Mus musculus: one gene and its partners. The protein of the gene in region 2 interacts with the protein of the main gene of each other region in a biochemical or structural test. Links are inferred from orthologs where the notes say so. Each region holds a gene or a part of one and is shown on either strand. Other genes may lie near its edges.

Region 1 (2,371 bases), on a different chromosome or scaffold from region 2:
TAAAAGTATGTTGGGTTGGATGTTTAGAGGAGTGCTTGACAAGGGCAAGGCCCTGGGTTGTCTTGCGTGTAAATGTACACACAAGCCAGTCTCTTAACACTATAAGCTTTTCTGTGGTTCAGACTAGTTTAGAAAGCTAGGAGTTGCATATTTTATCCACGTCAGCTGAACCTTTAAAATTGTACCTCATTTCCAGTGTCACGTGTATTAACATGTGATATGCTTAGATGTATTATTTATATTGGTAATAACAAAACTTTCCTAGCATGGACGAAAGCACATCTTTAGTTCCATCACGATAGGTACTGGAGTTCTAAGTCTAGCACTAGGGTGGCAAGGGAGGCAGCTAAGTTTCAGGCCACCCTGGACTATAAGGTGAGAGCCTGTTTCAAAGAGCCAGCAACAACGAGGAAGTGCACTCTGCTCTTAGCAAGTTATATCTATTTATCCACATTCTGTAATGAGCAGTGAGGAGTATAAAGTAGAAAACAGGCACCGTGAAGATTTAGACAATTAAGGTAAGCACGGAATGACTTTTAATACACCAGACAATGTTAATAAGACACAAGTCAAACAGACAAGTGCAAATGTGTTTCAGACCAAAGTTAATAGGAAAACAAGTGAGACATTTCCCTCCTTTTGGAGGGCAGCATCTACTAGCCAAATATTGTTAGTCAAATGGCTATTCACAGGTAAAATGTATTTTGTGGAAAACTTGGAATAGTCAGAAGTCATTCTGGTATTTTTAAACAGCTATGTACAGTATTACCAAGATCAGTTTATATACACAAATATTGAAGAGAAACTGGGCAAAACATTTAAAAATAGGCTAACCATACAACCAAGTACAAGACTTGACAGGAGGAAGGAAACATGTTTTAAAGACAGGGGACATTATAAGAAAAATTTACAAAACCAGTAATAATTATACTACATTAATACAGCATTCAAACAGGGAGGGGTAGGTGCACTTTTTCAATGCAGTAGCTTCAAAGTCCAAAGAAAAAGATGCGAAGCTGCTTTTCATGAAGAGCAGCTATATATTTCACATAATTGTTCTGAAAGAAAGCCTATTAACAACAATGATTGTTTAATGCTAGTTTTACAGCAAGAGGAAACTAAAATAGCAGCAAATTCACAAGGCAAGGCCTCCACAGAATGACCATCCCATGGCGCACACGATGCCTAAAGTGCTCCCAGTTGGATATACAAGTGTAATTCACATAGAAAAAAGAAACGCAAGACTGACACAGGTACATTGGAGGCAGAGGAGTACTGAGTCTCTGAGCATTTCCCTTTTTGAAGGGAGAGGATGTTCGCAGTAAAGCCCTTGAGTCCTTTCTAGAGGTCACAACCAGGAAAGACACCTTTCACCACACTGCAACAGTGAATGAGAAGCAGCACACCACCACAGTGGCGCACCCCGCAAAGGGGGCTGGAACATCCAACAGTGACCCACATCCTACATGAAACAGACGGGAGATGAGACAAAAGCCTGACAGAGCCAAGTCAGAATACAGCTCTCAACTGTAATTCTCAAAGTCACAGAAGGCGTTACGTTTTAGGAAAACTACTGATACCAATGGGCAAGTAATCACGAAGTGGGCTCTAGCAGTGATTCCAACCTAGCTTCCTCTTGTCACAGTTTTTTCCTTTGAGTGGGGAAGGGCTGGGGAATGTGAGCAGTTCAGTATATAGTAAGGCTGACAGAGCGGTTCATTTTCTTTCCAATAAGTCGAGAAGTTCTATTACTCTGGGTGGTGGATCTAGTGGCCATCCGATCTGTGAAGAGTGCCCGTTCCTCAGCTGCAACTTTGGCTGCCATTTGGGCTTTCTTGAGTTCTCTACAAAAATAAGAAGGAAGCAAGACTTTAATTTACCTACTGCATTAATTCTATGGAAAGAGTCTAAGAAGCCAAATACAAACTCAAACATTGTGCTGGCTAGTTTTATGTCAATTTGAAACAAACTATAGAGTCATCACAAACTAGGAGCCTCAATTGAGAAAATGCCTCTACAAGGTCAGGCTGCAGGCAAACCTGTTTCTATTTATTTATTTATTTATTTATTTTTTTGTTCCTCGAGACAGGGTTTCTCTGTGGAGCCCTGGCTGTCCTGGAACTCACTCTGTAGACCAGGCTGGCCTCGAACTCAGAAATCCACCTGCCTGCGCCTCCCAAGTGCTGGGATTAAAGGCATGGGCCACCACTGCTAGGTGCAAACCTGTTTCCCAATCAGTGATTGGAGTGGGAGGGGCCAACCCATTGTGGGCGATAACTCTTGATGCATTATAATGGTATATGACACACCTGGAGCTGGTGAAAAGATTCATCAGCGATAACACCTGCCACCAAGCCTGACAACCTGAGTT
Region 2 (3,500 bases):
GATGACTCAGTGGGCTTTATTTCCAAACCATGTATATGTTAGATCGTAGTTATCTTCAATGCCTTTTTGAAAGCAGTGAGGGTTTAATGATGTGAGGGGCCTATCTGACTGCAGCTGGCATTTCTCTCGTGTGATACTCAAAGAGTTCAACTTAGAAGAAAATCTCTTTGCTTTCTTTCAGGTACTTACGGTGTGGTGTATAAGGGTAGACACAGAGTCACTGGCCAGATAGTGGCCATGAAGAAGATCAGACTTGAAAGCGAGGAAGAAGGAGTGCCCAGTACTGCAATTCGGGAAATCTCTCTATTAAAAGAACTTCGACATCCAAATATAGTCAGGTGTGCTGTGTTAGAACTGAAGCCACTCTCCCTGTGCTGCTGCACATCTGTTTTAAAGTAGAAATTTTTATGTACTTTCTGGTTCAAGTGGGATGGAGTCCTGCTTTGCTGATGGTGTTTGGAGAATTTGAGACAGGGTGCTAGAATTGGCTAGAGGAGCAAGGCACAGCCCTGGGACCCCTTCCATGGGGAGCTTGCTTAGCTCCTACTTTTAGGGCCCAGGTCCCCAGAGGCTCCTGAGACCAGGGGCCAGGCTGAGGTAGATAAGCTATGCTTTATTGACTTGCTTGGGCTGGGTCATTGAGGACGTTGTCTGGTGGTTCATTAGAATTTCTGTTGGTAGGAGGGACTGAACCCAGGCCTTTGGGTAGAGCTAAGAAAGTGCTCTACCACTGAGCTGTAGCCTCTGGCCTCCTAATATGGGGTTTTGAAATTATTAAGACAGGATATTACTCTAGCTCACCCAGGTTGGCCTGGAATTTACTGCTGTCCTCTAGCTCCCAAGTGCCGGGATTATGGGTTTAAACCACCGCACCCAGTCTCCAGCACTCACAGAATTACCCAGGGTGACCTTGTGCTCACTCCATCCTTTGCATCTAGAGATCCTTGCCTTACTTAGCACCTCTGGTAGCTGGCGTGACCTGCCTCTGCCCCTGGGTTCTAACTGTTGTTGCACTGGGGCTGGCACTAGGGAGCAGCTTTAATCTTCTCGAGCAGCCAGCTTTAGGAGTGCAGGCGGTGTGAGCTAGCTCCTCCTGCAGAGGAGGCTGTGGACTACTGTCCTGAACTTCCGTCCTCAAGTTCTACTTGAGAGTGAAGGTCACTGTTAGCAGTTATGCTGTTGGAAGTGGAGGCAGGCTGCTGGCTGGACTCACGCTTGCTCTGCTCAGCCTGCAGGATGTGCTCATGCAGGACTCCAGGCTGTATCTCATCTTTGAGTTCCTGTCCATGGACCTCAAGAAGTACCTGGACTCCATCCCTCCTGGGCAGTTCATGGATTCTTCACTCGTTAAGGTAAAGAGTTGCGTGCTTTTACTAATACGCTCTCTGAACGTGGGCTCCATCCTTGCGTTTTGTGGCTGCATCTTAGAAAACCTGTAAGGGAAGAGACAGCATTTTATTTTCCTTCCTTCCACCGGATGAGATCATCATCTGCCTGTCTCATTTCCAGAAGGTTCTAGAAGTGAGAAGTAGCGTCTGAGCACCTAAGTGCTACCCTGTGGCTTATGTATCACATTGCTGGGGGCAGGCCAGGCTACAGTGGTTATGTGCAGATCAGCGACAGCAGCCTGAGCCCGGTGCTGATGCTAAGTGGTCTTACTCTGACAAGTAGGCTTTGGTTAATGTAAACATTGTATTTCAGTTAAATTATAATTGTATTTATTGTTCTTTGTGTGTGGTACCGGGTATTGGATCCAGGGCATTGTGTATAATTGGGCAAGTGTTATTCTCAGCAAATGGGTATAGGTTGTAAATGTCTATGGTAAAGGGGTCTTCACCTTAAACCGGCTTTATTTTTCCACTGAACTCTGTGCATGCCTTGAGATGTTCACGTTGACTTTGTATGCATCTAAACCCAGTGGGATCCTTCTGTATGTGCACTGCACACGTTAGTTAGCCTCTCATGTCTCTGTTTCGTAGTGGTTTAATACTTTGTACAGCTAGTAAACCATTTCCACTTAGATTACTTCCTACTTTAGTGATGGCTGCAGTGAGTCGTCATGAGTGGTGGTGGAGGTTCATTCTGCAGCCCAGGCTGGCCTTGAACTCTCATCCTCAAGCCGCCATCTCCCAAGTGTGGGCATTATAAGCATGTGCCACCACACCCACCACTTTATGTCATTTTAGAGGTGGCTTCTTGGAACTGTGATAAAATCTGTGTTTATATTTAAGATCATGGTTGATAGGTCCTCTAAAAATCAATTACTATTTTATTACATTGTTACCAAGACTTGACTGTATGTAACTTTTAAATAGTCTCAGTGTATTATGGGAAGGGTTTTATTACAGTTATTCTATTTGACATTTAACATACTATTGTGTTTACTCATTTTTGCATAACCTGTACATATTCACTCATCTTTCTGTATTTCAGTGGTTTCAAAAGTCATTATTACTAACACACGGTGACTTGCTAGTGGTGCCCACCACTGCCAGTGCTCACACTGTATGGCTATTGCTGAGATGAAGGCTATGGCCTCAGCAAGCAACTTGAGGAGGAAAGTGGCCGTTTGGCTTACACTTGCATGTAACTGCTCATCACCCCAGGAAGTCAGGACAGGAGCTCCTGGCCAGGAACTTGGGGGCAGGAGCTGATTCAGAGGCTGTGGAGAGCCCAGGGCCACCAGTCCAGGGATGGCACCACCCATGATGAGCTGGGCCCTCTCCCAGCGATTACTAATTAAGAAAATGCCTTACAAGCTTGCTTACAACCTGTACTTAAGGAGGCATTTTCTCAGTTGAAGCTTCCTCTCCAATAACTCTAGCTTCTGTCAAGTTGACATAAAACTCTCCAGCAGAGTATTCTTAATGATTTTTTTGTTGTTTTGTTAAAGCCATAATGTATAAGATCAAATGTTTTAGAATAATGTCAATATTTTTCTGCTCTCTCCTATCTCCTAACTTTTCTTAAGTTATGGATAGGGAAAGATTCCTTTGGCTTTAGGATTGGAAGGCTTGGGGACATTTCAGAGGGAAAGTGCTTATGGCACAAGCACGAGGAGCTGAGCTCTGGTTCCCAGGCTCCACATGGAGGTGGTGAGGTGGTGGTGTGGCTCCACATGGAGGTGGTGAGGTGGTGTGGACATCTATAAGCCCAGAGGCTGAAGGACAGAGGCAGGGGCTGCGGGTGGGATGGCTCTGTTGTGTCCCAGGGCCATCCATTTTGATCAAAATGGTGAACTTCAGGTTTAATGAGAAATATCTGCCTGTCACTCGGGTACCTACATTGAAGAGTGCACATGTGTGGGCATGCACACACTAGAGAAGTAGGTTACGAACAAACTTTTACACATTCCCAGTTTAAGCTGTTTTACATATTTTCCTGTTGTCTCAAAAGAGGAAATGCACGTGTAAAGTGACAGAAATGGAAAAGCACAGCTTTATTCAGGATAGAAACAGTTGACACGAGTGCTGAGGAAACTTCTGCACAGAAAGCTAACA
Region 3 (4,192 bases), on a different chromosome or scaffold from region 2:
ATATTGTTATTTTACCATTGTGTGTATGTGTGCCATGGCCCAGGGGTCAGAGGCTATTTTAGGGAGCTGGTTCTTTTTCTAATGTAGAATATGGAGGCTGAACTCAGGTAATCAGACTTGTGCTAAAGGCCCAAGCACTTTCACCCACAGAGCACGTCACTTGCTACATACTTTTCGATTAAGCAAGTCTTACTCCTTTTTCTTTGCATATGCGTGAAGGGTATGCACAAATGAGCAGACAGATGAGCAATGCCCTTGCTGGAGGACATTGGCTGTCCAGGTCTAGCACTATTGCTTTTATTCCCTTGAGACAGAGTCTCTCACTGAACCTGGAGCCAGCAAGGCCCTAGGACCCTCCCGTCTCTGAGCTTCGTAGTTACAGGACCCAGGGGAAGCGAGCCTGGCCTTGTACATGCATACGGATCTGATACTGGGCCTCACGCTTGCGCAGACATCTTCCCACCCCTCATATTTCCTATCTCTAAACGGTTCTTCCACAAAATCTTACAGACCTGTGAAATCTCGACATCTCCAATTCTGAACACTTCATCAGTCAGAGTAGCAGAAAGCAGCTGGGATATGGTACAGGGCACAATATGCTGGGCTCGGACTCTCTGAAAAGAAAAAGTACGCACAGTCAACCCAAGAGAGTAACAATCACTCATTTAATATTTCCATGTGCCAAGCACTTGAATATACCACACTCCTGGAATTGCAAAACCAAGTTCTCCTTACTTTAAAAAGAGACAGAAAACAGGGCCAGAAAGTTAACATTTGTTTCATCTTCCTCTCCCTCCTAAGTGCTAGGATTCAGAGTGTGTGCTACTATACACGGCGAATGCCACACTTTTGAATTCAAGCCCACAGGGATCTGATGCTAGACCTCCAGGTGAATATATGTTTGTATCCTATTGTGGGTTCACAAAGAAAAGGTCAGACTAGAGTCAGGACAACATAGGATAGCCTGTCTTTAGAACGCATCCCAGGTGGGGGCTGGTGAGATGGCTCAGTGGGTAAGAGCACCCGACTGCTCTTCCGAAGGTCCGGAGTTCAAATCCCAGCAACCACATGGTGGCTCACAACCATCTGTAACAAGATCTGATGCCCTCTTCTGGAGTGTCTGAAGACAGCTGCAGTGAACTTACATATAATAAATAAATAAATCTTAAAAAAAAAAAAAAAAAAAAAAAAAAAAGAACGCATCCCAGGGCTAGGCAGTGGTGGCAAATGGTTTTAATCTCAGCACCCAGGAGGCAGAGGCAGGTGGACTTCTTGAGTTCAAGGCCAGCCTGGTCTATAGAGTGAGTTCCAGGACAGCCAAGGATACACACACACACACACACACACACACACACACACACACAGACACCCAAAACAAAACAACAACAAGAAAACAACTGTCTCAGAGAGGTAGGGGTAGAAAGAGCACATCCCAGACATAGCAAGAGCAGTGTTCAGGACACCACGGAGACAACAGGGCCTTGTGAAAAGGCTTGAGAAATGACAAGCAGAAAAAGGACTACGAAGATGCTCTAGGTTTCTTGATAAAATGGAAGAAGTTAGAAGTATAGCTTCTTTTAGGAGATATTCTGGCAACCAGATGGCAGTCTCTGCAGAAAACCTGGTGAGTTTCGTCAAGCTGCTCATCTTTGGGCATCTTAACAGGAGAGTCAGATGGAGTGGGCAGAGGAGCATCTAGCAAAGACACTTGCCTCTCAAGCCACCTACGAGCAATGTAGTTTGTTTGTTTTTTAAGAAAGGATCTTTTTGGGCTGGAGAGATGGCTCAGCGGTTAAGAGCACTGACTGCTCTTCCAGAGGTCCTGAGTTCAATTCCCAGCAACCATACGGTGGCTCACAACCATCTGTAGTGGTATCTGATGCCCTCTTCTGGTGTGTCTGAAGACAACTACAGTGTACAGGCAGGTGGATCTCTGAGTTCCAGGCCAGCCAGAGCTACAAACACCTCCAAAACACTTGGTCATACAATGAATATGTACGAGGCAGAAAAAGCCCAGCAGATTAAGGCTTAGCGTGTCCTTCCTGTCAGTTACCAACAGGAAACAACCCCAAACCTGTTCTGAACACAGTGGACTCTTGTTCTTCAGGGATTTTTGTGCCCTGGGGACAGCGATATTAAACTCTACTAAAGCATACTTTCGAGTGGTAGGGCCAGGAAAATGGAGGCCGGGCGAACCACTGCAGGCTTGCCAAACAATAAAATAATAAAAACCCTGTTCCCCACTTGACCATACAAAAGACAAGGTAGGTAACGGACAGCTTCTGACACCTTGGGGTGTGCCACCCTCCCGCACGAAAACACGTTCCCTCCTGGCCAGGACACAAATGAGAACGGAGCCGTCAGTCTACGTACCGATTTCTTCTCCGCCTGCGACGGTGTGGGCGACCCGAAGCCACCGGGGGACTGCGTGTAGCCGCCTGCTCCGCCATAGGTGGAGCTGCTGAAGCTTTCGAATCCGCCTGCGGGGAACGACCGTCGTCAGAGTCTGCGCTGCGCTCCCCATCTCTATACCTGGCGACCGCTGTCCCCACCGCCCCAGCCGCGACAATCCCCCTGCCACCCCGCGAACGCCGCCGAGCCCGCCTCGGGCCTCTCGCTCCGTCCCGGCCTTCCTGCGCCAGACTCGCCCACTCCCAACACCCTCGCGTGACTCTCCCCACGCCCGCCATTACTATTCCACATCCTGGTCGCAGTTCTCCGGAGAGAGCGGCCCAAGACGCTCGGACACGAAAACTAAGAACACTTGGGAACTCTGTGCCGCTCTGGCGTGGCAGCCTTCTGGCTACTTTGCACTGGCGCCACAAACTCCTTCCCGCGAAGGGACAGCCAATCAGCGCCCTGGACACATTTACCTTCAGCCAATCAGAACTCATGAGTCCCCTCCTTTTTTTTTCGGTATCAAGGCCAAGCTTAGGAAAAACACCCGGCCCCAAGAAGGAATGGAAGCATGCGCGGCCATCTTTACTGAGGGCAAATTTCCGATAGGACAGTATTCAAGAAAACAACCAATCAAAACGATACTTCCGGGGCCATCCTCAAGCATTCTTCACACACACCCCATCTCCGTCGCATGCAACCCTACATCACTTCCGCCGCTCGCTAGCCCCCTTTTCCCGCCAAACTGCTAGTTTTCTGCTCTTCCAGAACTCCCGAGTTCAATTCCCAGCAACCACATGGTGGATCACAACCATCTATAATGGGATCTGCTGTCCTCTTCTGGTGTGTCTGAAGATAGTGATATTGTATTCATAAATAAATACCTGCGTGATGGTGGAAGGAGAGGCTCAACTGTTAATCCCACTGAAGATGAGTAGAAATGATTAAACAATTTTTGGTCAAATTAAGCAAGCTTAATTTTGTCAGAGATGGCTATCTCGCTAAACTGGGGTTTTGAGAAAACAGCATCGCCGGGCAGTGGTGGCACAGACCTTTAATCCCAGCATTTAGGAGGCAGAGGCAGGAGGATTTCTGAGTTCGAGGCCAGCCTGGTCTACAGAGTGAGTTCCAGGACAGCCAAGGCTACACAGAGAAACCCTGTCTCGAAAAAACAAAACAAATACAAAATGAGAAAACAGCATCGAACACAAGAGGTGAGGTTTATATAACCCCCAAAACTGCAAGAATATGGACATTTTCAAGGGTTATGTAGGCACTTGGTCGAACATTTCAGCATTATTTGGCAGAACGTCTATCAGACTGAAATCAGGGTATAGGGTGTGGAACCTGTCGAAATTCAGAAAGTTGGTCAAGACCTGGTCAAATTAAGTTTTATAGAAAAGAGGAATGGACTTATTTTGGTAGTATGATAAGATGGCTTCAGAACTTAAGGTGGAGTCAGGCTGCTCCATCACAACTCCTACAAGTTGTCCTCTACACACACACACACAAGCACACACTCCAGCACACATGTTCATACGCACACACAGGCTTGTATCCAGGGCATAGATAACATGTTCATGTTTTCAAAGAAAGAAACCCTACCTGGGGGAGGGGTTGGCACACGCCTTTAACCCCAACACTTGGGAGGTGGAGGCAGGTGGATCTCTGTGAATTTGAGGCCAGCTTGGTCTACAGTGTGAGTTCTAGGACAGTCAAGGCTGCACAGGGAAACCCTGTCTTGAAGAAAAAAAAAAGAAAACAAACAAAAGAAACCTCATGGCCATACATGGCC
Region 4 (3,273 bases), on a different chromosome or scaffold from region 2:
GTTTGTCTGAGAGAGACTCTCAGCTTTTGTTGCTTACCCTGACAGCAAGGGATCTTGTGAAATTGGTCAGTTTCAGGAACTTCCTGAAACTATATGAGTTGTTTGCATCCCTACTTAAGGAACTTCCATGCAGGATGGGGTGTTTTAATTTCAAAGGAAACTGTTATACAACAGTCCTCACATAATGTTGTAGTTAGGGCTCAGCACATGACTCTGGATAGAGAAGTCTTCAGACAACATAGGTGACAGGAGATAGAGCAGGAGCTGTGGAGGGTGAAGACATCTTAGGAGAAATGCGCTCCTAAGGGCGAAGCTAGCAGATGACTGTCTTCCCAAGACGTTGGAGCTTGATGCTCCCTTCCTGGTAAACCACTTCCTCCTGCCTGGTGGCCAACTGGCATCCCTGAAAGGCCACCATTTCCCAGGAGTTCCGATGGCCACCAGACAGCAGGTTGGTCACAATCCACAGCTTTTGTCATAGAAGGGGAAGGGCTTTGATCTTACTGGATAGATCAGGCCAGACACCAGTATTCAGTGCCACCTGGAGGTTGGCTATAGGACTTGGTGGTTTGCTCAGACTGGGATCAAGGACACAGTGAGCAGGCATGATCTGTCCCTGTTAGCTATGAGGAAACTGCCAGGCAGCAGCAAATGATTGGGCTCCGGGCCCCCACTGTGTATGCTGTCCCCTGAGCCACAGGAAGGTCCCAGAGCACCCTTCTGACCAGTGCGGAGGAATGCTCAGGGGAAGGGTACTGCTGTCCCTGCACTATAGAGCACTGGAAGTACAGCTGCCTCCTTTCAGCGACTCACACGGTCTCAGTGCAGAGCCTGGACTGAGCAAGGGAAAGGCGGCAGTCTGAGCACACCTCCTCCCCAGGGCTGTCCATGAGGCATCTGAGCCTCCTGCCCGGCCCAGATGTCGTGTGACCTGCTATGACTCACTGGATCGTGAGTACTTGTTCCATGAACCCTGACACACAAGACAAGAGACCCTCAGCACACCTCAAACAATCGCCAGACACGGGTTGAGGTGCACAATATTCTCTGATTACTCCTAACTGGCTCCAAAGAACCAGGTCTCTGCTCAGAGAAGAGGAGATGCACAGAGGTACTCAGGGTTTGCAACTGGGGCAGGAAACCCCAGAATCCATGCTTAGATTTACAAGAGTCGCCTCTAATTGGGACTCCGAGTCGGGGCTATTTCTGGTGTTGGCGCGGCTCCAAGAAGGCACTCACTGTGTGCTGCCCCACACATAGAGAAGGAGAATGAGCGAGTCGGGCTCAAAGTCCAGCCAGCCCCTGGCCTCCAAGCAGGAAAAGGATGGGACTGAGAAGCGAGGCCGGGGCAGGCCACGCAAGCAGCCTCCGGTGAGTCCTGGGACGGCGCTGGTCGGGAGTCAGAAAGAGCCCAGTGAAGTGCCAACTCCGAAGAGACCTCGGGGCCGACCAAAGGGAAGCAAGAATAAGGGCGCCGCCAAGACCCGGAAAGTCACCACAGCTCCAGGGAGGAAACCAAGGGGCAGACCCAAGAAACTGGAGAAGGAGGAAGAGGAGGGCATCTCCCAGGAGTCCTCTGAGGAGGAGCAGTGATCACCACTCGCAGTGCCGCCTGCTCCATAGCCACTGAGGAGCAGCTGTCCCCTGGGACTGGAAGCCCTGCTCCCAGGCCCCTCCCCGCCCCCACTGCACACTACCGCACCAGGCACCAGCTGCAGGCTCTGCTCCGCAGCACCCAAGGGAGCAGGATTCGGCTCAGTCCCTGTGCCCTCCTCCCGAACACACCTGCCCCATCCTGACAAGGCTAACTTCCCATTTAGCCGCAGCCCGGCCTGCTGCGCACCTCCCTCAGAGCCGTGGCTCTCTGGGCGCTTTGTTTTGCGGGTCCCTTCTGCCCTGCTGTTCCTGGCTTCCCCGTAGAGGGTCCTGGGAGCATTCCCTGGCCTTAAGGGGCCCCGGCCCCATCTCACTCTGACAAGGCCCAGTGGCTGACCTAGCAGCAGCAGTGTGGTCAGGGCAGGGGATGCTTAGATCCCAGCATGTCCCCACCAAAGTATCACCGGGTGGGTTTCTCAGCCCCTCCTGCCCCACCCTACAGAGATCATGCACTGGGTTGGCTGAGCCCCTTGACAACAGGAAGTAGGATGATGTTGGCTCCACCCACTTTAATGTTCTCACCTGAGACTAGACAGATGGGGTTACCGCCCATCTCCAGAGTAAGGGCCTGTTCTCGCCTCCACCAAAGGCAAACGGGCACCAACACGCCTCCCCCAGTCCACTCTAGGCTGTTCCTTCCTCCCGCAGGGCACTAAGGAGCTAGCCTTGCCGCCCCCTCCTTTTCGCTCCTCCCTGCCCCCCATGGTTCTGGTTCCATCTTCTCCTCTGTTCACAAACTACCTCTGGACGGTTGTGTTGTTTTTTTTTTGTTCCATGTTCATTCTTAGATACCCACTATTGCTGCTGCTACCAGCGTCAGATGTTCATCCTCCTGAATTTGCCTGTATTCTCTCCCCCACACAATACACTCGAGGGGAAGGGGGGCTGGGGCGCAGCAGACTGGTTACCTACCCCACACTAAGGAAGATGGGGCCCCACCCCGTGGATGCTGCAGCAGAGTGAGGATGGGGGCCCACTTTGATGGGAAAAGGGTGTAGGGCCACCTCCCCTTGTTCTGTGGGGGAGGGGTGGCCAGTATTTGTCCCAGCCTGGGGCTTCCTCCCTGGTTTCTTATTTGCAGTTACTTGAATAAAAAACAAATAGCCTTTTCTGGACAGTCAAAAAAAAAAAAAAAAAAAAAAAAGATTTACAAGAGTCCTGCCTCAAAGTAAAGACGGTGCCTCAGTGTCTCTGCCAAAGGCGGAGTTCCTGGCTGGTACGGGGCAGCAGGTGAGGGGCACCTGGGAGGAACAGATTGAGGGGAACAGCCAGGGGACTCTCTAGACACACTGCAGGCATGGTGGGTTCTTGGGTCCCTGGGCATTGGAATCCAGTGTGCCTGCTCCAGCTAGATCACATCACTACCTTCATTTATAACAACAAAACAAAAAGTCCCAAGCTGATGCTTCTGTCCAGATAATTCCAAACCCAGCAATCTCACTGCCCTGGGCCGAGGGTGTGGCTCACATCACCGAGCATCACTGATGGGGCACCGTTGGCTTAGTATGCTCTCAGGCCCTGGGTTCAAGACTCCACATCTCATTGCTGAAAATTCAGATTCCTTCTTTAGGTTGCCCCTTCCTTCCCGCTACACTGCTGTGTCAGACCCTCTCACAG
Region 5 (4,300 bases), on a different chromosome or scaffold from region 2:
CGAATTTCAGGTGTATAATGAAGTTCAGCTGAAGGCATCCCAGCTTATGAACTGAACTAGTGGATTCTTGAATTTTCCGCTTACATACACACACACTAGTTTATTAGAGTGGCTTACAGGCTGTAGGTCCAGCTAGTCCAACAATTACTGTTTACCAACGGAAAACCCAAGAATCCGCTAGTTCTTGAGTCTACAAGCCTGGGTGTCTTTGGCTGAAGGAAGCCAGAAGATGTGTGCTCTAATGCCAGTGAAGGATTATGTATATATTCCTTCTTTCTATATATTCTGAAAATCTATATACATATTCATTCTCAGTTCTCTATCCATTCTATCAGTGAAGGAATGAATACATTCATTTATTCATTCATTCATTCAACCTGTTCCTCTAGAGAACCACGACCAATACAGATACATAACTTCCAGAGTGTTACAAATTCTCAGTCTGAACTCTTCACTATTGAACCTGTTTTCACAGGTCTGTGGGATTTTGCCATTCAGATGCATCTTATTAAAAGTAAATTTGAAATACCATTATTCACCTCATTGCCAGATAACTGAACAGGGAGTGGGGGTTGGGCTGCGTACTGTATAAGCAGCTCATTTCTATTCCTCGGGGAGAAAGGTTGACTCCCAAGATGCCATTGACAAATGTTGCAAACTCCTTACACTTTGCTGAGAAAACATGGGGTGAGCTATTTGCTCTCAAAAGTTGTTAATAAACAACTTGAAACCTTGATAAGTGCTAAGAACCATAAACGCAGCTTGGAAGGCCTTTCAGAGAAATCTGGTCGCCTTTTCTTCCGTCGTCAGGGGATTAGGCACCAGTTTTGCTAGCCAAAGCCTCCAAGGTGCCGAAAGGAACCGCACTAACTTTATCTGCCTACTGGTGCTCTCCGTGAGGAGCGAGGGCCGCCCCGCATTGAATCCCCTGTGGGGCCGGTCACACGCCTTCCTTTCAGTGGCGCCAACAAAAGTGTTGGACCCCGGGCCCAGTATGGCACGCCGGAGAAGAGGGCGGTTAAGACCGTTACCAACCCGAGTTTTGAACTATTTCAAACTTGGCTCAGGCGCCCGCCCGTCTCCTCCCCTCCCCCTCCCGAGAACCACTCAGCGCCCATTCCCGCCAAGAGCTGGCCCGCCCCCCGGCCGGTTCCCGCCATCCCGACCTCCCCGCCTCCTGCCCATAGCGGGCTTCGGGTCCCGCCAAGTGCCCGGCCTCCGCCTGCCTGTCCATGGCTTTCCTGAGAGGTACCGCACGTTGGCAAAAGAACAAAGACAGCGACTGTGGTGCTTCCACCCAGCAAGCCGCGTTCCTCAGAGCGAGCCCTGTCACTCGCGCACGCGCTGGTGAGCCTCGCGCTCCCAGGGCTGGAGCTCGCTCCGAAGGCTCCCAGCCCGTTCGGCCCTCTGATTGGACGGGCGCCCTCTCGCATCCTCCAATCGGAGAGGCGCTTGATAGTGCTGGGGGGGCCAAATAAAAGCGATGGCGATTGGGTTGCTGCGTTTGGCGCTCGGTCCGGTCGCGTCCGACACCCAGTGGGACATCGAAGGCAGTGGAGTCCCGGCGGCGGCGGTGGCGGTGGCGGCGGGTTGGGGGCGACGCGCGGGAGAGGCGCGGGCTGGCGCGCGGGACGAAGGTAGTCCGCGCCGTCGGCCGCCGGTGGTCGGCAGTCAGGGATCTGGAACGCGCCCCGGGGCGGCGGCGGCGGCGGCGGCGATCGCGGGACCTCCGCGCGGGTGCCTGGCCAGTCTTCGGCATCGCCCAAGCGGGTCTCACTCGAGCGCCGCTTTTGTAGGCGCGGAGGGAGGGCTAGGGGACAGCTTTCTGAGCGGTCGTGAGGTGTGTGGCGGTCCCCGCGGTCCCACGAGTGAACTGTGGATTCCGGCAGACGCGGGCGGGCGGGGGCCGGGAGTGGGGGCTTCTGTCCCGGAGCCTGGTCCCGCCTGGCCGGGGCTGGGGGCGTTCCTGTGGCCGATCGGGGCCGGCAGCGCTGAGCCTCAAGTCTTCTTTGTGTGGCTGGGAGGCGGGAGCGCCCGGGTAGGACGGGACTTACACACAAGTTGGTGGGACCGAGTCGAGAGTCTGCACTCAGACAAAGGACAGACTGTGTCTCGGAAGGGGAGGGGAGGACGCGACACTCGGGGCTCCCGCCGCGCGGGTGGGGGCGTGGGGAGGCGCGACGCGAGCGCGAGTGGGCAGGGCTCGTCCTTGCCTGGCCCTGCTGGGGGCGACCGGCTAACGCCGGGCCTTGCTAAGGCGGGACTGCGTGCACAATGTGGGAACTCCCTTAGCCCTGCGGCTGACATTTCCCCGAGAGCCGGGAGTCTCCCACTGCCTCGGGCTGCTAGTGTCCTCGACTGGCTTTGTGCTAAGTTCGATGGAAGAGTCCAGCTGTGTTTCCTTCTCTCACTTCATTATACAGCCCCCCTTGCACGCACCAGATCGTATGCTTCAGGGCTACTTTTTGAAAATGGGAGAAATTGAGAAAGCACGGGCTTTCGGAAAACTTGGTGAATGTCTTGTGAGTTCTACTTTCTAAAGGACCAAAACCTGAAAGAAAAACAAAATCTGTTTTGGCCAACTTGTGTGCTTTTGAGAATGGTGACAGGTGCTAACGAAATCAACTGTCATTTACTCAGTGATTATTCCCCAAATCTCCAGGGGTAGGTTGTTAAAGACTAGATGATCGAAATAAAATACCCACGAGAAATGTGGGTTTACGCTGTAGAATTGACAGTTTCTTTTTAGTGGGTCACGTTTCCCGTGAACAATAGCTTTGGTGAGTCAGAAAAGGCATTTGTTGCCTAAGAAATTCGAGTGTATTCTTGTCACAATTCAAAGAAACTTACTTTGCTTATTAACAGGATCTGTAGAATCTAAATTCATCTGAAGTAAAAATTTGTCTTTGATATTTAAAATACCGTACAACAACGCTACAACGCCTTTTCAGTTTCAGGAAAGTCGTTATCAGTTTAATTCTATGGGTTTTTAATGGCACATAAAACATTTGAAAAATACTAATGCTGTCACAGTTGAATGTAGTTTATATTTTTGGCGATTTAAAAATGTATTTTCAATTACTTTTTATTAATGAATATTAGCAGTGAATTCATATTCAGGAATAAAAGTCAATTTTACTTAGAAGAATGTGGAAATATTTAGGTTATATTTAATTTCCTGTTCTTGTATTCTCAAGTTGGAAACGGATTGGATTCTGGTCTTAAACGAAAAGAATCCTGCCTTTTCTCTTTGGAGAGGTGTACTAGAGAATGAAAATTGCATTAGGAAAACTTAGGAAAATTGCATCCTATATTCTAATTTTGATGGGTTTTGAATATATTTCTTAAAAAAAAAAACAAAAAAAAACCAAAAGAACAGACTCTTGTTGCACTGTTTCATCTAATGAAGACCTAAAGTACATCTGCTAATTTACGGTTTCATATGAATGGAGACAAAGAAATGCAGTGTCAAATTTCTGTTGTTTCTGATTTGCAGGAGCATCGTAGAATAGACATTCCAGGTGCAGCTCTAAATGTTGAGATTGTAGCATAAGGTTTATGTTTACATTAAAATCCTATTGATAATCTCATTCATTATGAGGTGAGCTAGTTGTATAGAATTTTGGTAGAAAATTAGTTTAGAATTTAACAATTCAGTTTTGCCTGAATATGTGATTTTTTCCTGTAGTTGACATTTGCTGTTTTGTACTTGCCACATATATTTCCTTAACTCTCTGAAGAATTGGTTGAAAATATTGCCTTATGTTTCGGTAGAAATGAGAAATGTTTAAGAAGTCTAAATAGGGATAGAAAAAGCCACTTGTTGACATGTGTAGCTAGAAGTGTTCTTTTTGGTACTGATATTCTTTTGCATGGATACATGTGATTATTTTTGTGTTGGCTATGTAAAGGTTTTAGTCAGATTTTCCAAATCACACCAAAATTCATTTGCTTTAGGTTGTCCTTTATCCTTTGAAGTCATATGCTCAAGAAGTTTAGATTTATTTTATTACTAGCCTTTAAATAATAATGAAGAAAGTTGATTTGCCTTAAAAAAACGAACAAAGGAAAATTTCTCTGCTGATAAAATGATTTATGGGCTATAGAAATGGTTTATAGATTAGCTTTGAAGTCTTTATGTCAGTGTAGATGGTGAATTTTTCAGTACATTCCATAGTAGTTATAGGTTGGTAGAATCTTTACGGTGGAACATGGGTAGAAAGGAACAATTCATTAAATTCAGAGAAAGGTCCATCAGAGTATGTGCTTTATTTTAGAGATGTTGTCCCAGAAGTCTCAG
Region 6 (4,300 bases), on a different chromosome or scaffold from region 2:
GGACACGGCTCCTACCTATGTCTCCCTTTCTATCCCAGAATGGAAGTTTACAACTCCATGTTCCAGTTACATTTCCCCAGGGAAGGCAATCCCATCCTTCACACATACTTCAAGGAACCCAAGCATCGGAACCAACATTCAGTGCTCACCCTGGGCAGTCTGAACAAACCACAGAATCTGCACCCAGATGACATCAGAGAGGAAGATTTTTTTTTTCTTTTAAACATGTTTTTAGATTTATTTGTATGATGGTTTTGTATGCATGTATGTACAGTAGTATGGTATCACATGTATACCCTGTGCCCTTGAAGGTCAGAAGACGGCCTGAAACTAGAGTTAGGATGGTTATGAGTCACCAACAAACCCCAAGGAAGATTTTTTCCCTTTTGGTTGTTTTTTTGTTTTGAGAAGGGGTCTCACTGTATAACTGGCTGTCCCGGAACGATGTAGACCAGGCTGGCCTGGAACTCAGAGACCCCTTGCTTCTACCTGGAGAGTTTAAAGGCAAGTGCCACCACATCTGGTCAGGATTTTCTTGATACTGGAGAAAGACAGAAAACTAGCACCACATGTCCCATCCGTTCATTCTGCCAGGGTAAAAACTCTTATGGACTTTCCCAAGTTTCATGAGAGCAGAGTGGCCAGCTGGGTGTTAGCACCTGTCCAAAACTCCGGAGACTGAGGCAGGCAGATCCAGAGCTGGAGGCTGGCCTGGGTTACGTAGTGAACTCCAGGCCAGCTCGGGCTATAGAGTGATTCGTTGTCTAAAACGAACACTCTGCTCGCTGGGATGTGGCCGGAGTAGGTCCTAGCATGCACGGAGCTCTGGTTTATCCCCCGCAATGCATGTCTGTGATTCCAAGACGTGGGAGATGGAGGCGAGAGGATCATCCTTCGCCTGACAGCAAATAAGAGGTTATCCTTGGCCTGACAGCAAGTGAGAGGCCAGCCTGGAATATCGTGACCCTGAGTTAAAAATAAAGAACGGAGCCCGAAGTGATGGCACACACCTTTAATCCCAGAACTCGGGAAAAAGGCAGCCGGATTTATGAGTTCGAGGCCAGTCTTGGTCTACAGAGTGAATGTGAGGACGTCCAGGGCTACGCACAGAAACCCTGTCTGGAAAAACCAAGACAAAAAGGAAAAAAAGAAAAAAGAAAAACAGACCGGGACAGGAAACGCCGCTCCCACTCAACCGCCCAGCTCGAGGCCACGCCCTCGCCGCCTGACTCAACCGGCGGGCTTGAGGCTCGAACTCAGGATACTCCCCGAGTCCCGCCTCGGCCCACGCGCCGTGGGCGCGCCGCCGGGGGTCGCTTGGGCAACGGGCGCGCGCCCTCCGGAGCGCGGAACCCGGGAAGCCGCACGCGGCGCGCGCAGCAAGTCTGCTCCTCGGGTTCGGGCCTCGTCCGCGATGCCCCGCCTACCGCTCCGCCCCCGCGGAAGTGCCGGCCGCCTTTTCGCTAGCTGACTGGTCCTCCCGTACAGAGGGCGGAGCTCGCGGTGAGGCGGGGGTGCGTACTTCCGGCTGCCGGCTTGACATGCAGAAGCCGCTGCTGGGGAGCTTGGGGCTGCGGTGGTGGCGGGTGACGGGCTTCGGGACGCGGAGCGACGCGGCCTAGCGCGGCGGACGGCCGTGGGAACTCGGGCAGCCGACCCGTCCCGCCATGGAGATGGAGAAGGAGTTCGAGGAGATCGACAAGGCTGGGAACTGGGCGGCTATTTACCAGGTGCGGAGCCGGGGGCCCCTAGGCCGCGCCGTCTCCCCGACCCTCCCGGCTCGGGGGACTCCTGTCGCGCATCCTCGTCGCCCTAGACCCCTCTTGGGGTTCGCGGCCCCTGCGACACCCCCACTCGCCTCTATCTCTCCGCGGTCCCTGTCATCTTCGAGCTCCCCCCGCAAACCCGACCCCAACATGGCCCAGCCACCCTTTGTCCCCACTGGTCCACACCCCTGCCGCTTCCTTGTCTGGACTGGACCACCTCAGGCCCTCTTCCTTTGTCTCCTGGGGAGGAGGGTGGGCTCGCCGACACCCCCGCCCCCTCACATTTCACTTCCTCGGGCCTCGGTGTGCGGTGGTGGAGGCCCGGGGATGACAGCCCCCTTACTCCTTCCTGTCCATTCATTTGTTAGACGTGAGCTGGAGGGTCTCTTCGGTGCTAGGCTTTGGAGCTGGTGTGTATTGAACGCCACCGTAGACCTAACCTATCCCCCCCCCCCCGAGAGGCTATAGTCACACAGACATTCAAATACTGATCATTGCATCTGGTGACAAGTGTTGAGAAGAGAAAGACCTGTTCTGGTGGAGGGTGACTGTACGCAAAGGGGCTGCCTTGTCTAGGGCATCACCGGCAGGGCTGCTAGCGGCTCGACAGGGAAGGAGACTTGCTCTTTGAATAGACCAAGGAGTGACAAGCCATGAGGTTAGGCGACTAACTAGGGGGACACAGAACCCATTCCTATAGCTGCCTGACCCTCTCCAAATGGCCTCTTTCTTTTGTCTTTTATCCTTTGACCGTGAGCTGAGATGGTTTCTGTTTTCTGTGATCCGGTCCACTTGAGGGGTTCTGGTGGTTCATTAAAAAAAAAAAAAGTATTATGAAAGTAGGGTTCTCCCCCCCACCCCCCGCCATGTATGAAACAGTGAATTGAAAATGCAAAGATGTCTTTGCAAGCAGCTAAGTCCTCTAAAGAAAACAAATCTTCCGATTAAATGTCAGTGCGGGGGTTGTGAGGATTAACCATACTCGCCAGGCATCTTAAATAAGCATGTGCAAAATAGATCCTGTTCCTCGGGTAAAGAGAGCAGGCGGTTTATTCTGCTTTCAGCTTCTAGGTTCAAAAGACAGCGGGTGAGACCCATCAGCTGGAAATTGAAATCTATTTTGAGCTTCACTTAGGAAAGTAGGCACCCTCAGGCTGTTGTTTGGTGTTCTTGACTGACAAAACCTTTTTTGGGGGGTTGCCTTGGTTTCCAGATTCTTTGACAGGGTTCTTTTTACTTGGGCCTCGGTGTGCTCGTCAGCTTTTTTGGGGGGCAGATATTTGTAGCTAGTGTAATCTGTGTCAGTCGAGCGATCAATTGTAACATTTGTATTGCACGTCTAGTCTATGAATTGGCTGGACAGATTCCACTAAGGAGTCAGGTCTGTGGGCAGATTTTCTGTATCAGATTAAATGCAAGGGGATCCCAGTGTAACAACAGCACGTGAAGATTGTTCTGTAAGCCACTCTGATGTGTGGAGGTTGTTGGCTAAACAGACCGTCCCAAGTGGAGACCGTTGAATCTTTAGTACTGAGACAGACTTATTTGGTAACAAATTGGCATCATTAATAAGTTATGGTAGAATGTGGTTTTTTACGCTTTTAGGTTAGAGTGGCCTGCCCCGACATCTAAGCCTTGTTAAAGCTGGCGCAGAGTGGGCTGGCTTTGAAATCTGTTTTCTTCATTCTTCTCCAATTTCTCCTCCACACTTAAGCCCCACACGTTAGTAAATTGCTAGTAATAGTAATAGTAAGCCCCACAAGTTAAGTACGATGCCAGGGTCCGCACAGCCTGTTCACAAGTGCTTGTGCCCTTGGTTCCCCAGTGTGAAGGTTTTATGTTCTCTCTCTCTCTCTCTTCTTTTTGTTTTTTAGAGATAAGGTTTCTCTGTGTAGCCCTGGCAGTCCTGGAACTTGCTCTGTAGACCATCTGGCTGGCTTTGAACTCAGAGATCAGGCTGTTTTTGTTTCTGGAGTGCAGGGATTAAAGGAGTGTGCCACCCTGCATATTTGTAGTTTTGAAGATGGTTATGGAAGTGCTCCTGTTTTACATTTTAAAAGTAGCCTTTTGACTTACAGTTGTGAGCATTTTGTTGTTGTTTTATTTTGTCTTTTTGCTTTTTGCTCAAGACAAGGTTTCTATATGTAACAGTCCTTGGCTGTCTTGGGGCTCCATTTGCAGACCAGGCTAACCTCCAACTCAGAAATCTTCCTGCCTCTGCTTCCAGAGTGCTGGGATCAAAGATGTGTGCTTCAATTGTGCCACTTTTTAAAACCAGTATTTGAATGACCTTGAGTGAATGACCTAAAGCTGTTTTTCTAATATAAAGGATAATTTCTCTAAACCTTTTGTTTCAGCTTAAAGAAAATATGTTTACGATTGGTGGAAAATAAAAGGGTTGAGTTGTTTTTTTTTTTTTTTGGTTTGGTTTGGTTTGGTTTTTGGTTTTCCGAGACAGGGTTTCTCTGTGTAGCCCTGGCTGTCCTGGAACTCACTCTGTAGACCAGGCTGGCCTCCAACTCAGAAATCCTCCT
Region 7 (4,215 bases), on a different chromosome or scaffold from region 2:
TGGCCGTTGATCACTTGAAAGTGTCTAGTATAGCTAAGGAAGTGTCTGGTGTAGTTAAGAAAGTGTCTGGTGTCTGGACTGAAAACTTTCACTTTATTCAATTTTGATTGTTTTACATTTATTTATTTATTTTCTTTTGCAGGTCTGAGGATGAGCCTTCAGACTCAGGGCTCACCCATGCTAGGCAAGCACTTTATTGCTAAATCATATTCCCAGGCCCCAGCTAGCCCCTTACTTTACATTAATTTAGTGGTGTGTGTGTGTGTGTGTGTGTGTGTGTGTGTGTGTGTGTGTATGTGTGTGTGTGGTGTGTGTGTGGTATGTGTGTGTGTAGCATGTGCATATATGCACACAAGGCGTATGTTGTGCCGGACAAGATCAGAGGTCAACCGCAAATGTGATCGATTCCCTGGGCACTGCCCACCTCCATTTTTAAGATACAGCTTTTCATTGACTTGGAGTTCTCACTTTGGGATTGGCTGGGGAGTCCCAGGGATTTGCCAGCCTTTGCCTCTCAGGGCTGGGATTATAAGTGGTGTCCATCTAGTTTGGATTTTTTAATGTGGATTTTGGGGCTTGAACTTGGATCTTCATGCGTGCACAGTAAACTCTTTACAGACAGGATTGTACTATGTAGGGTTTTTTTTCTTTTCTTTTCATGCAGTAGTCCTCAAATCTCCACTCTCTTGCCTAGACCCCCTTCTACCATCCTCCTTAGGGCTGGGACTATAGGCGCAGGCCACCAGCAGGCCTCTTATTTTACGTTTAATAACTACCTGGGGCAAAGGGCTGTTGGTCACCTGAGGCAGGAATTCTACTGGGCTGTGCTAAGGATGGACGCTCAATCATACGGACCCTATACCAGAATGCATCTGTCCATGTGGTACTCTGCGCTCAAAGATCATCTCAATTGAAGACTGCATTCACCTCAACCCACTGCCCTCAGCTGTCCACTCTGTCCACGCACAACCTTATAAATTCCTTGAGAAAAGTCAGATGGAGGACTGGTTCTTTGCAGAGGCTACTGAGGCCCTTGGCTCCTTTATTTTTGCAGCAAACAAGGAGGCTTTCTGCATGTGCAGTTCCATTTCATAGATGAGGCTCAAGGAGGCTCAGCCAGAAGGCGGGAAACAGGGTAAACTCTTGGAGAACTCTGATGCCCGCAAAGACACTTCCTTGGGTCGGGTTGTCAGGGTGGTAGAGAAAGCGGCGGGTAAATATTTGGGGCGGTATCCTGGACTCCGGCGACACCCGTCACTGCGGTTCTTCAGAGGCCAGCGCGTGGCTAGGGCGGTGCCGGGAGTAGGGGGTGGAGGGACAGGGGCGTCCCCTAGGTCGTCTGGGACTTACTCAGCAGCCCCGCCCCGCCCCGCCCCTGCCGGTGGCTATAAGACGGAGTAGCCGGCGGGTGGCGCGGCTCAGGCGAGTAGCTAGCGCTCAGGCTCGGCAAGGAGCAAGGCAGAGGCACCGGAGCAGACTGCAGTGCAGGCGGCAGCCACCAGGGCCAACACCTCGCAGCATCTCTGCTACGCGTGTCACTGAGCAACTTCTCCATGAAGCCGCCCTCAGCGCAGAGCAGTCCCGCGGCGGTCGCGGCCGCAGGTGAGTGCCTATTTGGAGGTGTCTTCTCCACCTCTGCGCCCCGGGATCGAAGCCAGGGACTGCGTCCACGCTAAGCTACACTCTCAGCTCCGGGGCCCCTGAGAGCTGGAGCCTGCAAGTAGGGGCGAGAGAACAGAGGTCGCTAAGGTCTTCTTCCACTGCCCACCCTTCTGTCCTCCATCACCCTGGCATCCCGTCTCCGGATCGCTCGTCCGATGCAGGTTTAGTTTGGTTTTCCACGCGGGACAAGGAACCGGAGTCTGACACGTAACGGGTGCCTGCTGACTCAGACTTCCCGCCGCCACGCGCTCCAGGGAGCGAGCGTGGGCAACAGTAGGAAAGCGCGTGGGGTGGGCTAGGTGACTTCCAGACTTTCAGCTCAACCCACGGAGGCTTCTTCTCCTCCGTGTCTGGTGACAGGCGCTTTAGAGGGTGGTTGGGAGGTTACGGAGTAACTGACTGCGTGGCTGTCACTGGCAAAGGCAGAGTGGAGTTCTAGGGAACGCTGGCCGCCCCTCCAGATGCCCTCTGTGCCCTCCCTCCCCTAGCCCCGGCCATGGACTCCGCGGCCGCTGCAGACCTGACCGACGTGCTGTGCGAGTTCGACGCGGTGCTGGCCGACTTCGCGTCGCCCTTCCACGAGCGCCACTTCCACTATGAGGAGCACCTAGAGCGCATGAAGCGGCGCAGCAGCGCCAGCGTCAGCGACAGCAGCGGCTTCAGCGACTCGGAGAGTAAGTGAAGCCCTGTTGAAGTCAGTAATCCTCAGACTCAGGCTTCCTAAAGCTCTAGATTCACCTGGGTTATCTTTAAACTGAGGCACGACATCTGGGGAAAGTCAGACCCGGGGATCTGCACGGCTCTGAGATGCCTGAAGAGTTGACTTTCTGAGTCGTTAGCCCAGATGTGCGGGGGTCATTAAGGCGTTCTTGGGGAGAGAGGTACGAGGGTGGGTGGGTGGCTCTTAAAGAGCTGTGGGTCTACCTGTCACGGCAGGTGTGTACCATGAGGCCTGAGGGTTTGTGCAGTCAGCCAGAACTCCTGGGAGTCCAGCCAGGCCTTCCAACCTTTTCCCGCCTTTCTACCCACTCTTCGCTCTTCATTTTTTTTTTTTTATTTTATTTTATTTTGAGACTCTCCCAAGGTGATCTATGTAGCTGCGGGTGACCTCGAACCTCTCTGATCCTCTTTCCTCGGGCTTCAGGGTGCTGGGGTGACAGTGCAATGCCACCACATTTAGGCACATCAGTTTATAGGCAATGCTGGGGGTCAGACCTAGGGCTTCTTGCACGCTAGGCAAACACTAGACCAACAGCACCCTCCCTTTCCTTTTCCAGAATGGGTGTTGGGGAACATGAGGACACGAGTGAGCACAAGAATGAAACATTTGTGAAACCAAAATGGTTTCATAAGCTGCTGTTTTTGGAATGCTTGAAATAACTTCGTTCACTTTCTGCCTAGCTCCCAGGCTCTTTCGCCACTCCAGGCACTTTTGAAACAGTCTCCCGCTGGGCTGCTGAGTTCAAGTACAGGGTTTCAGGCACGCCCACCCTCCAGGTTACCCACAGAAGGTCATCCTAGTAACCTTTTCCACATTGCCTCTGGAGAGGGGAAGGGGGAGGGGAGGGGGAGGGGGAGGGGGAGGGGGAGAGAGAGAGTTAGTTTTCAGTAACTCAAGTGACCTGCAAGAACAGTGAATTTGGTGACCTTTTATTTATTATTATATAATTGTTTTCAAATCTTGGCTTATTCACTGTTTTTCAATGTGAACTTTAAATTCTGTTTGTTCTTGTGCCCTTAGTCCCTAGATACAGGCTCAGACATCACCAATTGTGCTGTCCCCAACTCTGGGAGTAAAAGTCACATTGCTGTTTTGAAATCTAGAAACATTTTCCTTTGTTACTAGGTGAAGATTCTGAGCCTGAGCTGTCCTCCTGAGAAGGGATGATGTTTGACATCCAGGTCAGGATTTGAATCTGAAACCCAAGCTCTGGTTTGATTTTCCTTAGCCACCTACACAGATCACCACGTGACTTAGGGGGCGAAGGGGGAGGGAAGAGGGCTGGTGAGCTGTTCATTTCCATTTAGAACTTTTGCGTCTTGATGCCAATGACCTGGTCACTTGTTCTCAGCAGTCAAGTGAAGCCTGACGCTGGAAATTTTTCTCCACAGCTGTGGTGTAACTTGAATATATTTCTTTCCACTGGGTCAAGGAACAAATTTTTCATTGTGTATAAATTCTCTTCTCCACAGAAGAGAAGGCTAGGTCTGTCCCCGATGCTCTGTAATCAAGTTCAGCTCCTTGCTAAGCCCCAGCCTCAGTCTAGATTAGAGTCTGAATTTGTGCAGTGATGTCGAACAGCACCCACCAGTTCTGCCAGGAGGGGTTTCAGATCCACGGTATGTTTTTAGGAGTCTCAAAAAGAGAATTCACCACAGTTTCTTAACAGTTGGAGAGAAGATTGACAGAATTTGCAGTTTTCTTAGGCATATCTCTGTGCATTTTGCTTTCTGCTTTTGTTGTCAACTTAAGCTTTCTTTCTGTGGTGGTTGGAGAGTAACAGGGAGGATCTAAGAAAGCACAGATGACCTTGGTCTTTGCCGTCAATGTGG

What was found.
Region 1: of the proteins of Cdk1 (region 2) and Wee1, one has a biochemical effect on the other in vitro, tested with the Homo sapiens proteins (5 studies listed by BioGRID, with this or other methods). The link is inferred for Mus musculus from reciprocal best matches to the Homo sapiens genes CDK1 and WEE1.
Region 3: of the proteins of Cdk1 (region 2) and Rpa2, one has a biochemical effect on the other in vitro, tested with the Homo sapiens proteins (2 studies listed by BioGRID). The link is inferred for Mus musculus from reciprocal best matches to the Homo sapiens genes CDK1 and RPA2.
Region 4: of the proteins of Cdk1 (region 2) and Hmga1b, one has a biochemical effect on the other in vitro, tested with the Homo sapiens proteins (3 studies listed by BioGRID and IntAct). The link is inferred for Mus musculus from reciprocal best matches to the Homo sapiens genes CDK1 and HMGA1.
Region 5: of the proteins of Cdk1 (region 2) and Ezh2, one has a biochemical effect on the other in vitro, tested with the Homo sapiens proteins (5 studies listed by BioGRID). The link is inferred for Mus musculus from reciprocal best matches to the Homo sapiens genes CDK1 and EZH2.
Region 6: of the proteins of Cdk1 (region 2) and Ptpn1, one has a biochemical effect on the other in vitro, tested with the Homo sapiens proteins (2 studies listed by BioGRID). The link is inferred for Mus musculus from reciprocal best matches to the Homo sapiens genes CDK1 and PTPN1.
Region 7: of the proteins of Cdk1 (region 2) and Rgcc, one has a biochemical effect on the other in vitro, tested with the Homo sapiens proteins (2 studies listed by BioGRID and IntAct). The link is inferred for Mus musculus from reciprocal best matches to the Homo sapiens genes CDK1 and RGCC.

Annotation. Positions count from the first base shown.
Region 1 is NC_000073.6:110,141,429-110,143,799, reverse strand, and holds the end of Wee1 (wee1-like protein kinase), read right to left. Parts: intron 1,845-2,371; coding exon 1,688-1,844; 3' UTR 501-1,687; downstream 1-500. UniProt on the Homo sapiens protein: Acts as a negative regulator of entry into mitosis (G2 to M transition) by protecting the nucleus from cytoplasmically activated cyclin B1-complexed CDK1 before the onset of mitosis by mediating phosphorylation of CDK1 on 'Tyr-15'.
Region 2 is NC_000076.6:69,342,913-69,346,412, reverse strand, and holds part of Cdk1 (cyclin-dependent kinase 1), read left to right. Parts: intron 1-181; coding exon 182-338; intron 339-1,228; coding exon 1,229-1,352; intron 1,353-3,500. UniProt on the Homo sapiens protein: Plays a key role in the control of the eukaryotic cell cycle by modulating the centrosome cycle as well as mitotic onset; promotes G2-M transition via association with multiple interphase cyclins.
Region 3 is NC_000070.6:132,766,968-132,771,159, reverse strand, and holds the start of Rpa2 (replication protein A 32 kDa subunit), read right to left. Parts: upstream 2,801-4,192; 5' UTR 2,704-2,800; coding exon 2,694-2,703; intron 2,481-2,693; coding exon 2,374-2,480; intron 615-2,373; coding exon 513-614; intron 1-512. UniProt on the Homo sapiens protein: As part of the heterotrimeric replication protein A complex (RPA/RP-A), binds and stabilizes single-stranded DNA intermediates that form during DNA replication or upon DNA stress.
Region 4 is NC_000077.6:120,761,620-120,764,892, forward strand, and holds Hmga1b (high mobility group protein HMG-I/HMG-Y), read left to right. Parts: upstream 1-1,174; 5' UTR 1,175-1,269; coding exon 1,270-1,371; coding exon of another isoform or gene 1,372-1,404; coding exon 1,405-1,593; 3' UTR 1,594-2,773; downstream 2,774-3,273. UniProt on the Homo sapiens protein: HMG-I/Y bind preferentially to the minor groove of A+T rich regions in double-stranded DNA. It is suggested that these proteins could function in nucleosome phasing and in the 3'-end processing of mRNA transcripts.
Region 5 is NC_000072.6:47,592,231-47,596,530, reverse strand, and holds the start of Ezh2 (histone-lysine N-methyltransferase EZH2), read left to right. Parts: upstream 1-1,500; 5' UTR 1,501-1,637; exon of another isoform or gene 1,638-1,840; intron 1,841-4,300. UniProt on the Homo sapiens protein: Polycomb group (PcG) protein. Catalytic subunit of the PRC2/EED-EZH2 complex, which methylates 'Lys-9' (H3K9me) and 'Lys-27' (H3K27me) of histone H3, leading to transcriptional repression of the affected target gene.
Region 6 is NC_000068.7:167,930,827-167,935,126, forward strand, and holds the start of Ptpn1 (tyrosine-protein phosphatase non-receptor type 1), read left to right. Parts: upstream 1-1,500; 5' UTR 1,501-1,667; coding exon 1,668-1,730; intron 1,731-4,300. UniProt on the Homo sapiens protein: Tyrosine-protein phosphatase which acts as a regulator of endoplasmic reticulum unfolded protein response. Mediates dephosphorylation of EIF2AK3/PERK; inactivating the protein kinase activity of EIF2AK3/PERK.
Region 7 is NC_000080.6:79,298,836-79,303,050, reverse strand, and holds the start of Rgcc (regulator of cell cycle RGCC), read left to right. Parts: upstream 1-1,415; 5' UTR 1,416-1,553; coding exon 1,554-1,602; intron 1,603-2,150; coding exon 2,151-2,336; intron 2,337-4,215. UniProt on the Homo sapiens protein: Modulates the activity of cell cycle-specific kinases. Enhances CDK1 activity. May contribute to the regulation of the cell cycle. May inhibit growth of glioma cells by promoting arrest of mitotic progression at the G2/M transition.